Linked DNA regions of Drosophila melanogaster. Changing the gene in region 1 together with any one later gene gives a genetic interaction. Each region holds a gene or a part of one and is shown on either strand. Other genes may lie near its edges. The genes, in order: Trxr1 and cathD.

What was found.
Region 2: of Trxr1 (region 1) and cathD, changing one enhances a phenotype caused by changing the other (phenotypic enhancement), as found in Drosophila melanogaster (one study listed by BioGRID).

Annotation. Positions count from the first base shown.
Region 1 is NC_004354.4:8,241,657-8,248,574, reverse strand, and holds Trxr1 (thioredoxin reductase 1), read right to left. Parts: upstream 4,994-6,918; 5' UTR 4,847-4,993; coding exon 4,516-4,846; intron 4,387-4,515; exon of another isoform or gene 4,145-4,386; coding exon of another isoform or gene 4,078-4,144; intron 3,188-4,077; exon of another isoform or gene 2,949-3,187; coding exon of another isoform or gene 2,831-2,948; intron 2,482-2,830; coding exon 2,136-2,481; intron 2,066-2,135; coding exon 1,839-2,065; intron 1,768-1,838; coding exon 881-1,767; 3' UTR 542-880; downstream 1-541. Other genes in the region: sni (sniffer), read left to right, coding at 5,499-5,624, 6,319-6,370, 6,432-6,918. UniProt on the Drosophila melanogaster protein: Thioredoxin system is a major player in glutathione metabolism, due to the demonstrated absence of a glutathione reductase.
Region 2 is NT_033778.4:7,819,978-7,825,604, reverse strand, and holds the start of cathD (cathepsin D), read left to right. Parts: upstream 1-2,035; 5' UTR 2,036-2,138; coding exon 2,139-3,056; intron 3,057-3,119; coding exon 3,120-3,380; 3' UTR 3,381-3,494; intron 3,495-5,627. Other genes in the region: phr (photorepair), read right to left, coding at 1-5, 60-101; CG30383 (uncharacterized protein), read left to right, coding at 482-913, 1,147-1,479.

The DNA.
Region 1 (6,918 bases):
GGTTCATAGTATAGCCATCTCGCTTTGTTTCGTGGCATCCAATCGGAGATACCACCTCGAAAGTGTTCCATACATACATATATGATTAATGCTAATTCCTTATAGAAGCTATTGAATTCTCTTTGCTGTTCATTAATTGATTGCATCAATTTACTGTCTTAATTTGATTTTGATTTGCTTGCGAGGATTCCTTAGGTCATAAACTTCAACCTTTTCGTAGCTTCTATTACACTTTATCACGCACTGTTTTTCCTTTGAAAACTAAAGTATAATTTATTACCCACTGATATATGTATCTCCAGGGTGCCATCGTTCGTAGCTGATTTATAGCCCTCGAGGGCAAAGATTCCCCTAGCAATGGCATTAGCAATTAGTCGGGTGGCTAACAAGTTGTCAGGCTGGCAGACAGAATCGATTTAGCCAGGTCAAGTCAAGCCATTTGCATGGCTAATGAACTTACTTGATTGAAAAGGCAGAGGAAGGGCTAAAGGTCGAGGTATGTTTTAAAGGAAATGCACAGAACTGAAACACAGAGGGGTTTGTTGGTGAAAAATTATATTCTTCAACCGTACATTTAGGGGATTTCATAGTTAATTTCATAGGTTCAAACAAATTCAAAATTTTGAGTGCATGTCGGCGGCGCAGCAGTCGTGGGTTGGGCTGGTCGCGCGGGTAGTTCCACTGGTGTCGTTCCACCCGCCATCGCTGCCCAGTGCCCCTCCCTTGCGCAGAGCTATTGTGTTGGGTGTTAATTGTGGAAACGAAACGGAACTATTGAACTCATCGATCGCTGGGCCGCGACAACAACCATTCATCTACGGGATTTCGGGTGGAGCAAGCGGCTTCGACACGTCCCAGGCGGCTGAGCTGCGTTCCCGCTTTAGCTGCAGCAGCTGGCCGGCGTGGGGTCCAGTCCGGAGCGCTTGGTGATGGCCAGCCGGGTGAATTCTTCGGCGGTAGTGGGATGGATGCCCACGGTGTTGATCAGCGTGTTAATAGTCAGGCCAGACTTCAAAGCGGCAGCGAATCCCTGGATAACCTCACCGGCCACCGGGCCAATATAGTGCAGTCCATAGACGCGCTGGTCACCATGGCGCTCGGCCACAGCCTTCAAGTAGCAGTAGCGCACGCTCTTCTGGGGAATGAAGAACTCCGTGGGCTTGTAGTAGCCGTGGAACACCTCGATCTCATCGGCTCCGAACTGCTTGACGGCATCCTCCTCGCTCAGGCCGACGCAGGCGTACTCCAGGGGCGTGAAAACGGTGGTGGCCACATCCTTGTAGTCCATGCGCTGGGTAGATCCTCCGTACAGGCGGCGGGCCAGCAAACGGCCAGCCAAAACGGCGACGGGCGTCAGCTCTGGCTTGCCATAGATGATATCGCCGACAGCGTAGATGTTTGCCACATTGGTAGCCTCCTGGGAGTCCACTGGAATCTTGTCCTTCTGCACAGTCACGCCGGCATTGGGCAGGTTCAGATCGTCCACCAGACCCTTGCGGCCGATGGCCCACAGAACGGTGTCGTAAACATCCTCGGCCTCCTCGCCGGTCTCCACGTTCTTGTACTTCACGAGCAGCTTGCCATCATCCTGCTTTTCCACGGACAGCGGCACCGTCTTGCGGAGGAAGGGAATGCCACGCTCCTCCATCGAGGCTGCCACCAGCTCGGCCATCTGCTGGTCGAAGCCACGCAGCACAATAGAACGCACCATCACAGTGGGCTCGTAGCCGAGACCCTTCAGGAATCCAGCGCACTCCAAGCCAATGTCTGAGTGAAAGAGCAGAAACCGAATGGGTTATTCATCAATTTGATGTAAGCAAATGAAAGTAGCTACTTACAGCCAGCTCCCACCACCAGGGTCTTGCCGGGCTCGCGGTCCAAACTGAACAGATCATCGCTGGTGATGCCATACTCGACAGCACCGGGAATATCCGGATAACGTGGTCGGCCGCCAACGGCAATGACGAAGGTCTGGGCGGTGATTGTGCGCTCGCCGCTCTTCAGCTTGGCCAGCAGTGTGTGCGAGTCCACGAAGGAGCCCAGTCCATTGATGTACTCCACTTTCCTGAGCGCAAATAGAAGGGTATAATTAGTGGGGATGCTCGAGCGGAAGCCATAGATATAGTCACACTTACTTGTCGCGCAGATCCACACGGGTCACCCAGTTGACGGACTTGATGTGGTTCTGTACGGACTGCACCAGCTTGTGCCAGTCTGGCTTGATCTTTTCGTCCACGTTCCAGCCGTAGGCGGCCGCCTCATGGACAGCCTCGCCCAGAAGGGAGGCCTGGTGCATCAGCTTCTTGGGAATGCAGCCCACGTTCACGCAGGTGCCGCCAACGCCCCACTTGGTGCCCAGAGTGGGCGTGGGCTTAACGAAATCCAGACAGGCCACACGGGCTCCATTGAGGACTGCCTCCTTGGCGCAGGCCAGGCCAGCTGAGCCGCCTCCAATCACAATAAGGTCGTAGTCGTAGGATCCTGCAGGAGAAAAAAGGTTTTCGTTTGATTCATCGCCTTTTGTCTATAGAAATATGTAATCTACTGCCAAAATTGGGCTTAAAGAGGTCAAGAGGTCACAGAACATGAGGAGCCGTCAGGAAATCTAATCGTAGCACAGCCAATTCACCTTGTATTATTAAAAACTTATCACCGTTAGTAACATCAATAGCCATGTTGTATTGGCATGGTCTGTTTTTGTTCTTAACCAGTATCTAGATTAGTTGAAAATCCTTATCAGTGATAGGTAATGATATCAATTAGCCATGTGGTGCCAACTACTCAAGTTTCTCTTTAGCTTCACTCATGATTATGGCTAATCCCCGCCTGCCTTTGGTGGACTCCTCGCGCAGTCGTATGTCCAGATAGGCGGATCGGTAGATGCTCCTCCGGTGGCGTGGTTCACCCTCGACCAACTGGGAAGCCGGTATGAATTCGAACAGATGCATCCAGACCAAAGAAGTGCGGAACGAAGACTGTTTGGCCTCCTGCAATCCGTAATCTGCACCGTGCAATCCCGTCGAGCTCCTTGGCTTCAGTTGCCAGGTAGCGATAGTGCTGCCGAATGCCACACATGCCACTGGGTCAGTGGGAGTTCGAATCAAAGTGGAGCAATCATCTAGCGACATCGCCACACACCAAGCCACGCCCATCCCAGCCCGGCCACGCCTTTCTTCCGTCCGTCCACCTACGCCCCCCCATTCGGTTTGCTTTGACCCGCCGGACTTTGTCATGGTTACGCCCCAAAACTAGTTGGCAACACCACACACAATTCGCTTTTATCGGACGGAATGCTAATCCTGGCCAGGAACAGGGGGAAATCAGGTGGCTACGTACGAATGCGAGTGCAAATAAACAATTGTTGTCGTCACACTGCAATTAATTGCGGAATGAAGTGGTGATGACGCAGCTCAGCAATGATGATGAAAGATCAAAGACGATGGCGGGCGCTCGTTGAGCGACGGATACGAGAGATACGAAATAGAAAACACAGATAAAGGGAATAAATGCACCCGACTGATATGGTGAAATCATCATCATCATCATCATAAAGCGATTCTCGAACATTCCGCAAAGGGTTATTCGTTCAAGAGCACCGCATTCGACAAAAATCACACATATCACGTTGGTGCTTTAAGAAATCCTATTATACCCTTAATTACCATTTGAAATCAGAATATGGCATATATTTATAAGTAAATTCTTCTATTGTTTTCGGAATTAGAAGCTTCGTATCTGCTCGATTGGCTAATTATTCATTTAACAAGAAAACTTGATCGTGGCATGTGGGATTTATATTATATTACAAATTAAAACATCAAATACGTTTAACTTCATATAAATAGATATTAGTTTTTTTTTACCAGCTAAAGGCAAAATGGCAATACAAGTGACTTGTATGAATGTAATTTAACAAATATTATTAATTCGTTAAGTCATATGATGTAATTCTTTTTTGAGGCAAATAACTGATATTGTTTAAGCTGCAATTGAGTAATGGTTTTATGAGCAATCCATAATTCAATTAAAAAAATTCGACTGACATAGTATTTATACGCGATTCAGAACTTTGTTGACCATTATACTTAGAGGATGTGCTCTTTTTGGCGCCCACAACGATGGCGCAAATCATGTACTTCAGCATGATACGAGTTTCGAGTGCTGTTCGCGCGACCCCGACTGTACAATTCCAGTTGGAGCGGGTGCGCGATGACGATTGACGATGACGGTGCAAATGTGAGACAGCAAATGCCGGGCAGGCATATAAACCCTTGGCGAATACGTGCCGCAGAAACCCGATAAGCCAGGTAATAAGAGCAGAGTAATGGACTTTTTGGCCAGGCAACTAACGGTTATTGCATAATGGCGTCGGTTAAACACAAGAAGACCCAGAAAAAACAACAAGCAAGAAAACCGCGACAATCGACCGCGTTGCCAACCGGCGGCAACAGGAGCAGCAGCTGCGGCGGCAACAGCAAAGATCTAATCAGAATATCAATCGATATCGATGCTCACCTCCTTTGGTGCTCATCTTTCGCACCGGTTGCGCGTACATGGCCGCCCTGTCGCAATGTGGATGCTGGAAGGGTGGTGGTGCGCCGGCACCGGATCCGGCTGGAGCATTCCCACCGGTAGCTCCAGTACTGTCGCGTGATCCTCGCTGTCCCGTCAAGTTCATAGTTCGCTGAAACGTGTGATGGGCACAGCTGAGACTACTGGAAATCCAATGGGGAACCTTTGTTGTCAGTGAGCCTCTGTTTTGTATAATGCCAGCCGAAGGAGACGTTAAAATCGTCGAGCACTGCCGCACGAACGTAACGGAGAATCTCGAATTGCACAAGTTCATCTTGTTGGCCTTTCCCCTTCTTCAACGTTTGGCGTTTCACTCTACCAGCTGGAGGCGAAACGAAACTATTCGCGAAAAGGGTGCAGAAAAATGACGGCGGAACACACAACACAAACACGTTCGCTGGTTCGGCCGGGAATGCTGCGAAAGCGGTGGGCAGGCAGAGGCGCCGATAAACGGCTACGTAACAGAAGCAGCGAGAAAGAGAGAGGGCGCAAGAGCGCGTACCGCAAAAACGAGAATGTTTGGGATAAAATGGATTTGCCATAAAGGAGCATCCATTGGATTGCGAAATTCCATTTGGGATTTGAACATCACAACAGTTGTTCTGCCCTTTGCCAATTGGAAATGTGCGAAACGCACGTTTGGCAATGCGCAAGTGTATCGATAACTCGCGGATGGTTGGTAACACTGCTGCTGTCCGAACGAAACAGCCGGCCGTCAAAATTTTTCCTAACATTTCACTATTTTCACGCTTGTGTTACGGCAATAAAGTCGATTGATAAGCACGGAAAGATCTGGCTGCGGGTCTGGTGAAATCCACAGAACACACGGAACCCGTATAGTAGTGCCGCCCTTTATTGGTTTTATCTCAAGTACGACGCGATAAGATTTCGAGCAACTCGATCGCGGATCTTCGGAAAAAAAAAACATGAACTCCATCCTGATAACCGGCTGCAATCGAGGATTGGGTCTGGGCCTGGTCAAGGCGCTGCTCAATCTTCCCCAGCCGCCGCAGCATCTATTTACCACCTGCCGGAATCGCGAGCAGGCAAAGGTGAGAGATGTTTTCTTCTTATTTTGCGTTGTCTCTCTACTAAGACAATCCAGTAATCCAACAAAACCGGTGACTCACAACCGTCGAGCTACAGAAACTACAGAAGCTACGCGAACAATCCACAAGAGCCACTATTTCTACAAACCGCTTTTTAATCGTCCAAATGGGCATGCATAAATTGAATGGTTCAATTGGAATCGAATTAACTGTGAAACTCACCTTGCACGGGCGCCATTATTTTGTTGCTTGTTGGTAGGTGCTCCACGTAAATCAGACAGAAAACAAGGATCAACGGCGGGTAGTGAATGTTGTTGTAGTCGAAGCGGAAATGTAAAAACTGCTAAGCGTGTATTGTAGCGGCTCTCGGCACTCGCGAAAGCACGAAACGAATAAGCGGAGCCAACTTTTGCAATAGCTTTTGTACTTTCGTACGAGCGTGCGAAAGGGAGACGTCGATTGGCTTGTCGATTGCTGGGCCGACTATTGTTCGGTCACACCAGCAGCACTTATCGTCTATCGGTTATTATGGCACTAACGCGCTCGTTGGGCGCGCTATTTAAACTCTCATGAAATACCAAATTTGCCTCTAAAAATTACAGTAATTTAACTGGAAAATTATTCATATATAAACTGCTTTTTTACTAATAATGTGCTTCTTATTCAAACATTTTGTCTTTCCCAATTTGGCCCACAGGAGCTGGAGGATCTAGCCAAGAACCACTCGAACATACACATACTTGAGATTGGTAAGCATTATGTTTTACCAGCCGCTAAACACTCTCGCATATAAATATATTTTCCGTGCAGATTTGAGAAATTTCGATGCCTATGACAAGCTAGTCGCCGACATCGAGGGCGTGACCAAGGACCAAGGCCTCAATGTGCTCTTCAACAATGCCGGCATAGCGCCCAAATCGGCCAGGATAACGGCCGTTCGATCGCAGGAGCTGCTCGACACCTTGCAGACCAACACGGTTGTGCCCATCATGCTGGCCAAGGCGTGTCTGCCGCTCCTTAAGAAGGCAGCCAAAGCGAACGAATCCCAGCCGATGGGCGTGGGCCGTGCCGCCATTATTAACATGTCCTCGATCCTTGGCTCCATCCAGGGCAACACGGACGGCGGAATGTACGCCTATCGCACCTCTAAGTCGGCCTTGAATGCGGCCACCAAGTCGTTGAGCGTGGATCTGTATCCGCAACGCATCATGTGCGTCAGTCTGCATCCTGGCTGGGTGAAAACCGACATGGGTGGCTCCAGTGCCCCCTTGGACGTGCCCACCAGCACGGGACAAAT
Region 2 (5,627 bases), on another chromosome or scaffold:
AGAACCTGAACATGAATGAAAAATCGTGATTTGATTTTTACTAATTCGATTTAACCCACAATCTTGAATGATTCGCGCCAATATGAAGCAAGTGTAAACATAACTGTATAACGATATGGCGACTCTATCAGCTGTTCAATGAGAGTGAAAATTATGCTAGTAGCCGCACTCCAAATACACTTCCCTTGGAAGAGAAATTATTATGAATTAACATAAATAAAGAATTAAGTATTATGTTTAAATTTATATTAGTAGATTTTTTTTTGGCATAATATTTTAAGGAAAGTTGTGGCTTTCGGTTTTGAAATACATTTAACTCCAGATGTTCCTATTTCCTAAACATTCCCTAAGATTTCAATAGTCTCAGTGCCGCATACGATACACAGCAGTTATCGATTACAAAAAGAGTGCAGATCTGAAAGCGCACGTTGAAATTAAACCGATTCTTTACTGTTTTATAATAAAATGTTTTATATTGGGAATGAAAATGGACGAAACTGTGGACGAAGCGGAATTTAATGCCAATATCGGCCGTATTGCTCGATCTACGCTTTTGCACGATGCTGAACAATCGATCCACAGGGAGTTGATCGACTACGCTGTTGCGTCGTGCCGTCTGTTTTACATCCAGGATGCTTCAGCCTGGAAGGAGTGGAACACCAGGAACGAGGCTTTCAGGGATCTCACTGCCAAGGAAGTGTGCCATTTATTCCTAACCGAAGTTCTGCCCCAACTGGACACCTATCAGCTTTCGGAGATGGCCCAAAAACGCCTTAAGCTTCTGGATCTGCATCCATTCTTCAGGCGCGTTGCCCAAGGCTACCAGTACACTCCGGATTGTGACCTTGCAGCTCGATTTGTAGTCCAGCGCCAGAAACATTTTATCCAACCTGAAGATATCAAGAAGATTAAGGTAAGCATATCTGTCGGCGAATAATTTTGATGCCAATTTACTATGTACATGCATAAATATGAATGTATTTACTTAAAATTGCTTTCGTTAATAAACAATAAGTACCCTTTTTTTAATTTAATTTAATCTATCCTTATGCAGTTATCCGGGCACTTACACATCACATTATAATCTTATATCTCTTACTCTCTTAATCCAATAGTATGATATTAATTTTTGCTCGATTTTTATAGAAAGGCGATTCCCTGAAAAGATGCCAAACCGTGCTCATGGAAAGCGATGAAATGGAGCAGAAAACCTGCGTTGGGTATCGAAGCAAAGTCTCCATGGAGTCCGCCGTTCTGTTCTCGGTACTGTTGTCCACCAACCATGAGCTTTCTATTGGAAAGATGCTCGATATGAGTGAGATTCACGAAAGAATGCGGCGCGCCAAACAGTCATTCGAGGATACTGCTAGAGTTACTCCGTTCCGAACGAACATTGATGACCTAATCTCCGATTTGGATGTCTGTGCTAAGGTCAAATCCAAACTTTGTCGAGTAATAAGTGATTGTAAAAAGTACTAGAAAGGATTAGCTATATCTTTTATCTATATTTAATACTTTTATTTCATTTTAATCAATAGTATAAAATTATTTCTCTGGATTTTAGGTGACTATAAGAAGACTATTTTTGTAATATTTTTGAACCATTTAAGCTCAAAATACAACTTACTATTCATATTTTAATATATAATTCCATGTTATCATGAATTTATTAGAATTTATATATACAAGTAAAGATTCGAAATTCAGCTTCGACCCGCTCCTTACGATTGTTATCTATATTATCAATTAATACATTAAGGTTGCTCATCATAATTGTTAATTGTTTGCTCATAAAAGCGTTTAAAAATGAAAGATGGGAAATACTTTTTTAGCTTTCCCTTATTGTCTCTAAAGTAAGATCGTAGTCATGATACAAGCTCTTCCTAAATGTGTAGAAATAATGATACATTTGTATTATATATACATAAACGCGAAATATTAAAAAGAAACATTCCGAAAATTAAAGAATTGCATTAGTTTACAACAAAAACTATCGAATCTCTCTAATCAAAACGACGCGCCAAGCCAAATTTAGTACATTATCTGTGCTGAATCATTTTCGCTGTGCCGCAATATTTAATTAACTGCAGCGATCATTGCAGTTTTAGCCACCAGAGAAGCGTAACATAGAAATCAAAATGCAGAAGGTTGCACTGCTTCTAGTCGCCTTCCTGGCTGCGGCCGTGGCCCACCCAAATTCGCAGGAGAAGCCCGGATTGCTGCGCGTACCGCTCCACAAATTTCAGTCGGCCCGCCGGCACTTTGCGGATGTGGGCACGGAGCTGCAGCAATTGCGCATTAGGTACGGCGGAGGTGATGTGCCGGAACCGCTGTCCAACTATATGGACGCGCAGTACTATGGGCCCATTGCCATTGGCTCGCCACCGCAGAACTTCCGTGTGGTTTTCGACACCGGCTCCTCGAACTTGTGGGTGCCGTCCAAGAAGTGCCACCTGACCAACATCGCCTGTTTGATGCACAACAAGTACGATGCCTCCAAGTCGAAGACCTACACCAAGAACGGCACTGAGTTCGCCATCCAGTATGGCTCGGGCAGCTTGTCCGGATACCTGTCCACGGATACGGTGTCCATTGCCGGCCTGGACATCAAGGATCAGACATTCGCTGAGGCGCTCAGTGAGCCGGGCCTGGTCTTCGTAGCTGCCAAGTTCGACGGCATCCTAGGCCTGGGCTACAACTCCATCTCGGTGGACAAGGTGAAGCCGCCATTTTACGCCATGTACGAACAGGGTTTGATCTCCGCTCCGGTGTTCTCATTCTACCTGAATCGCGATCCCGCCTCGCCCGAGGGCGGTGAGATCATCTTTGGCGGCTCCGATCCCAACCACTACACTGGTGAATTCACCTACTTGCCCGTTACCCGCAAGGCCTACTGGCAAATCAAGATGGATGCCGCCTCCATTGGCGATTTGCAGCTGTGCAAGGGCGGTTGCCAGGTGATCGCTGACACCGGTACCTCACTAATTGCTGCGCCCTTGGAAGAGGCCACCTCTATTAACCAGAAGATTGGTGGAACTCCCATCATCGGTGGTCAGGTGAGTACCATGCTCTAAGTTCTCACATGAAGCACTGCTAATCCTCTTAATTTCTTACTTTAGTATGTGGTTTCTTGCGATCTCATTCCCCAATTGCCGGTAATCAAGTTTGTGCTGGGCGGAAAGACCTTCGAGCTCGAGGGCAAGGACTATATTCTCCGTGTGGCCCAGATGGGTAAGACCATCTGTCTGTCCGGCTTTATGGGCTTGGACATCCCCCCTCCAAACGGACCCTTGTGGATCCTCGGTGACGTTTTCATTGGCAAATACTACACCGAGTTTGACATGGGCAACGATCGTGTGGGCTTCGCCGATGCCAAATAATCGAACAAAGAAAAGTATACTTAAAATTTAAATTGTAAACATTATCGATCGATCCCATTGCGGGTTTCTCCGAAGAATAATATATAAATTATCATTTTAGTAGATTTTCCATATATTTATTAGCGTAAGTTTATTAATTACAATAGGGCTTGCGCGGTCTGCACTTAATGAGACGAATAGTAAGTACGTGGCGATGACCGACGCTTCTAATCTTCCAAAATCGACTAACTTAAGTATAGCAAGAGTTCTTATCTCTAAAGCTTAACAAGTTACAGTTTCTTATAGGTAAAGCTCGATCTATAGATGGGAAAAGCACTTGAGGCTTACGACTATATTTCGGGTGTTTTGTGATTGTGTTAACTCCTCCCCTTCTAAGACGAAGGCTGTCCACAGACTTTTTACAATTGGCAAATCTATTTGAAAGCGGATCTTACGGGTAACATTGGTTGTGCACTAAGTTCCCATACTGCCAACCTGGTACTGCGTTAAACCATCGAAGGGAAGGCAGCTCTGCGTGTCTGGATGATCCGAGAAGTTCGTAAATGCTGCTGATTCTCCATGTCATGGGTTCGCAACAAGGTTCTGGAGATGATCGTAGCGAACTTGGAAAAAATCTTTATTGTAACCGTCGACTTGTTGACGACGATGATGCTGATGTTGGTTGAACTAGTTGACCATCAAAACGTATGTGTTGAACGCACTCTGGTTGGCGTCTGATGGCAGATATTATTCAGTTCGTCGTTTCAGTACCCAGGCGCAGAAATAGTTGCCGCATCTTTACGTCTTTAGCAGATACTACGTTGATAGATCTTAATTCCCTCTTCTACTCTTCTCATCTACTTAAGAGGTAGTTACAGTTTTAATACTAAAGTTTTGACAATAATTAAGTATAACAATTATAATTTTATAATAAAGTTCATTCAGATATTTTTGATATTAAAGTATGTAGTAAAACGCTTATTGATTGCAAGTATTGATTTTCCTATTTAGTTGAACAGAATCAGGAAAGGGTATTGATAACATTAGTGTTTTATTTTTTTTTAATCGGGAATTTGAAATCTAATTAGAGTGAGTGCGCTATACTGTTATTATGCCGTTTTGGTAATGCATTTATTTTCTATGGTAGTTTCAGGAAATATTTGTGGTTGCGTGGACTTTAAGTTTTCAAATCATTCGGGTCTAGCATTTCATCACATACCTTTAAAATTTTCTAAAGAGGATGAAGCGGAAATAATACAAAATGTTTAAAGATTAAATAAGAAGGATTTGACAAATATTTAATTGAAAAATGTTTGCAAACTCTTTTACTAGTGTTCAGATTTCACGTTTGTATTTTGCTAACTTGGCGATGGTCACAAAAGGAAAAGAAATACTAAACCTAGCGTAGATTATCTTTATGAACGACCCTCCCTTTTATGAGGACCGTTGTCCCGAGGTCTGCTTCGATTAGTTCTTCCCTATACCGTGGGGTTAGTTTATTTCCCAAGCGATTGTTTTGTTTTACCATGACGGTTTCTCCCACCTCAAAGGTTCTGTCTCGTCTTGTTACATTTTCTCTTCTTAGCTGTTTTTCCTGAGCTTCGTTAACCATTTCTACTATCTCGTTAGCCAATTCGGGAGGAGTTGAATGAATAATGTCGATCGGTCTTCTATTGGTGACTGAGTGCACCGTCTTATTGTATTCTATTGTTGCCTGAAGAATAAGGTTGACTGTATCATTCATTCCACTGTCAAGTTTCAGGCATCGAGCTATTTCTAAAAGCGTGCTGTGAAACCTTTCAACCTGTCCGTTTGAGGTACTATGAAGTGGAGGTGCGTTCGCTATGTCAACATTAAAACGATTTTTCAAAAGTGACTTGATTGACTCGGAATTTATGGACGGTTCATTGTCACAAAATATTGTCTTTGAATGGGGAAAAAAGTTCATTAGTTGCATAATTGCAGGTTCTAAATCAGTTATCGTTCGAGAGCCGATTGGTTGCACAATAGCGAATTTGGAAAATTTGTCAATACATGTCAAAAAGTAATTCCTGTCCGTAGAAAATATATCAATATGCAATGTCTCGCCTACATGTGACGGAATAGGTGTTCTCCCGAGGATTTGCTTTTGCGGATGGCGGTCGTATTTGGCTTTTTGACAAACCAAGCAGTTAGAAACAAAGGTAGCGGCTATTTGTGACATTTTAGGGAAAAAGTAGTATTGAAGAATTTGTTTTACATTCTCCTGTGCTGCCCTATGCGCTCTGT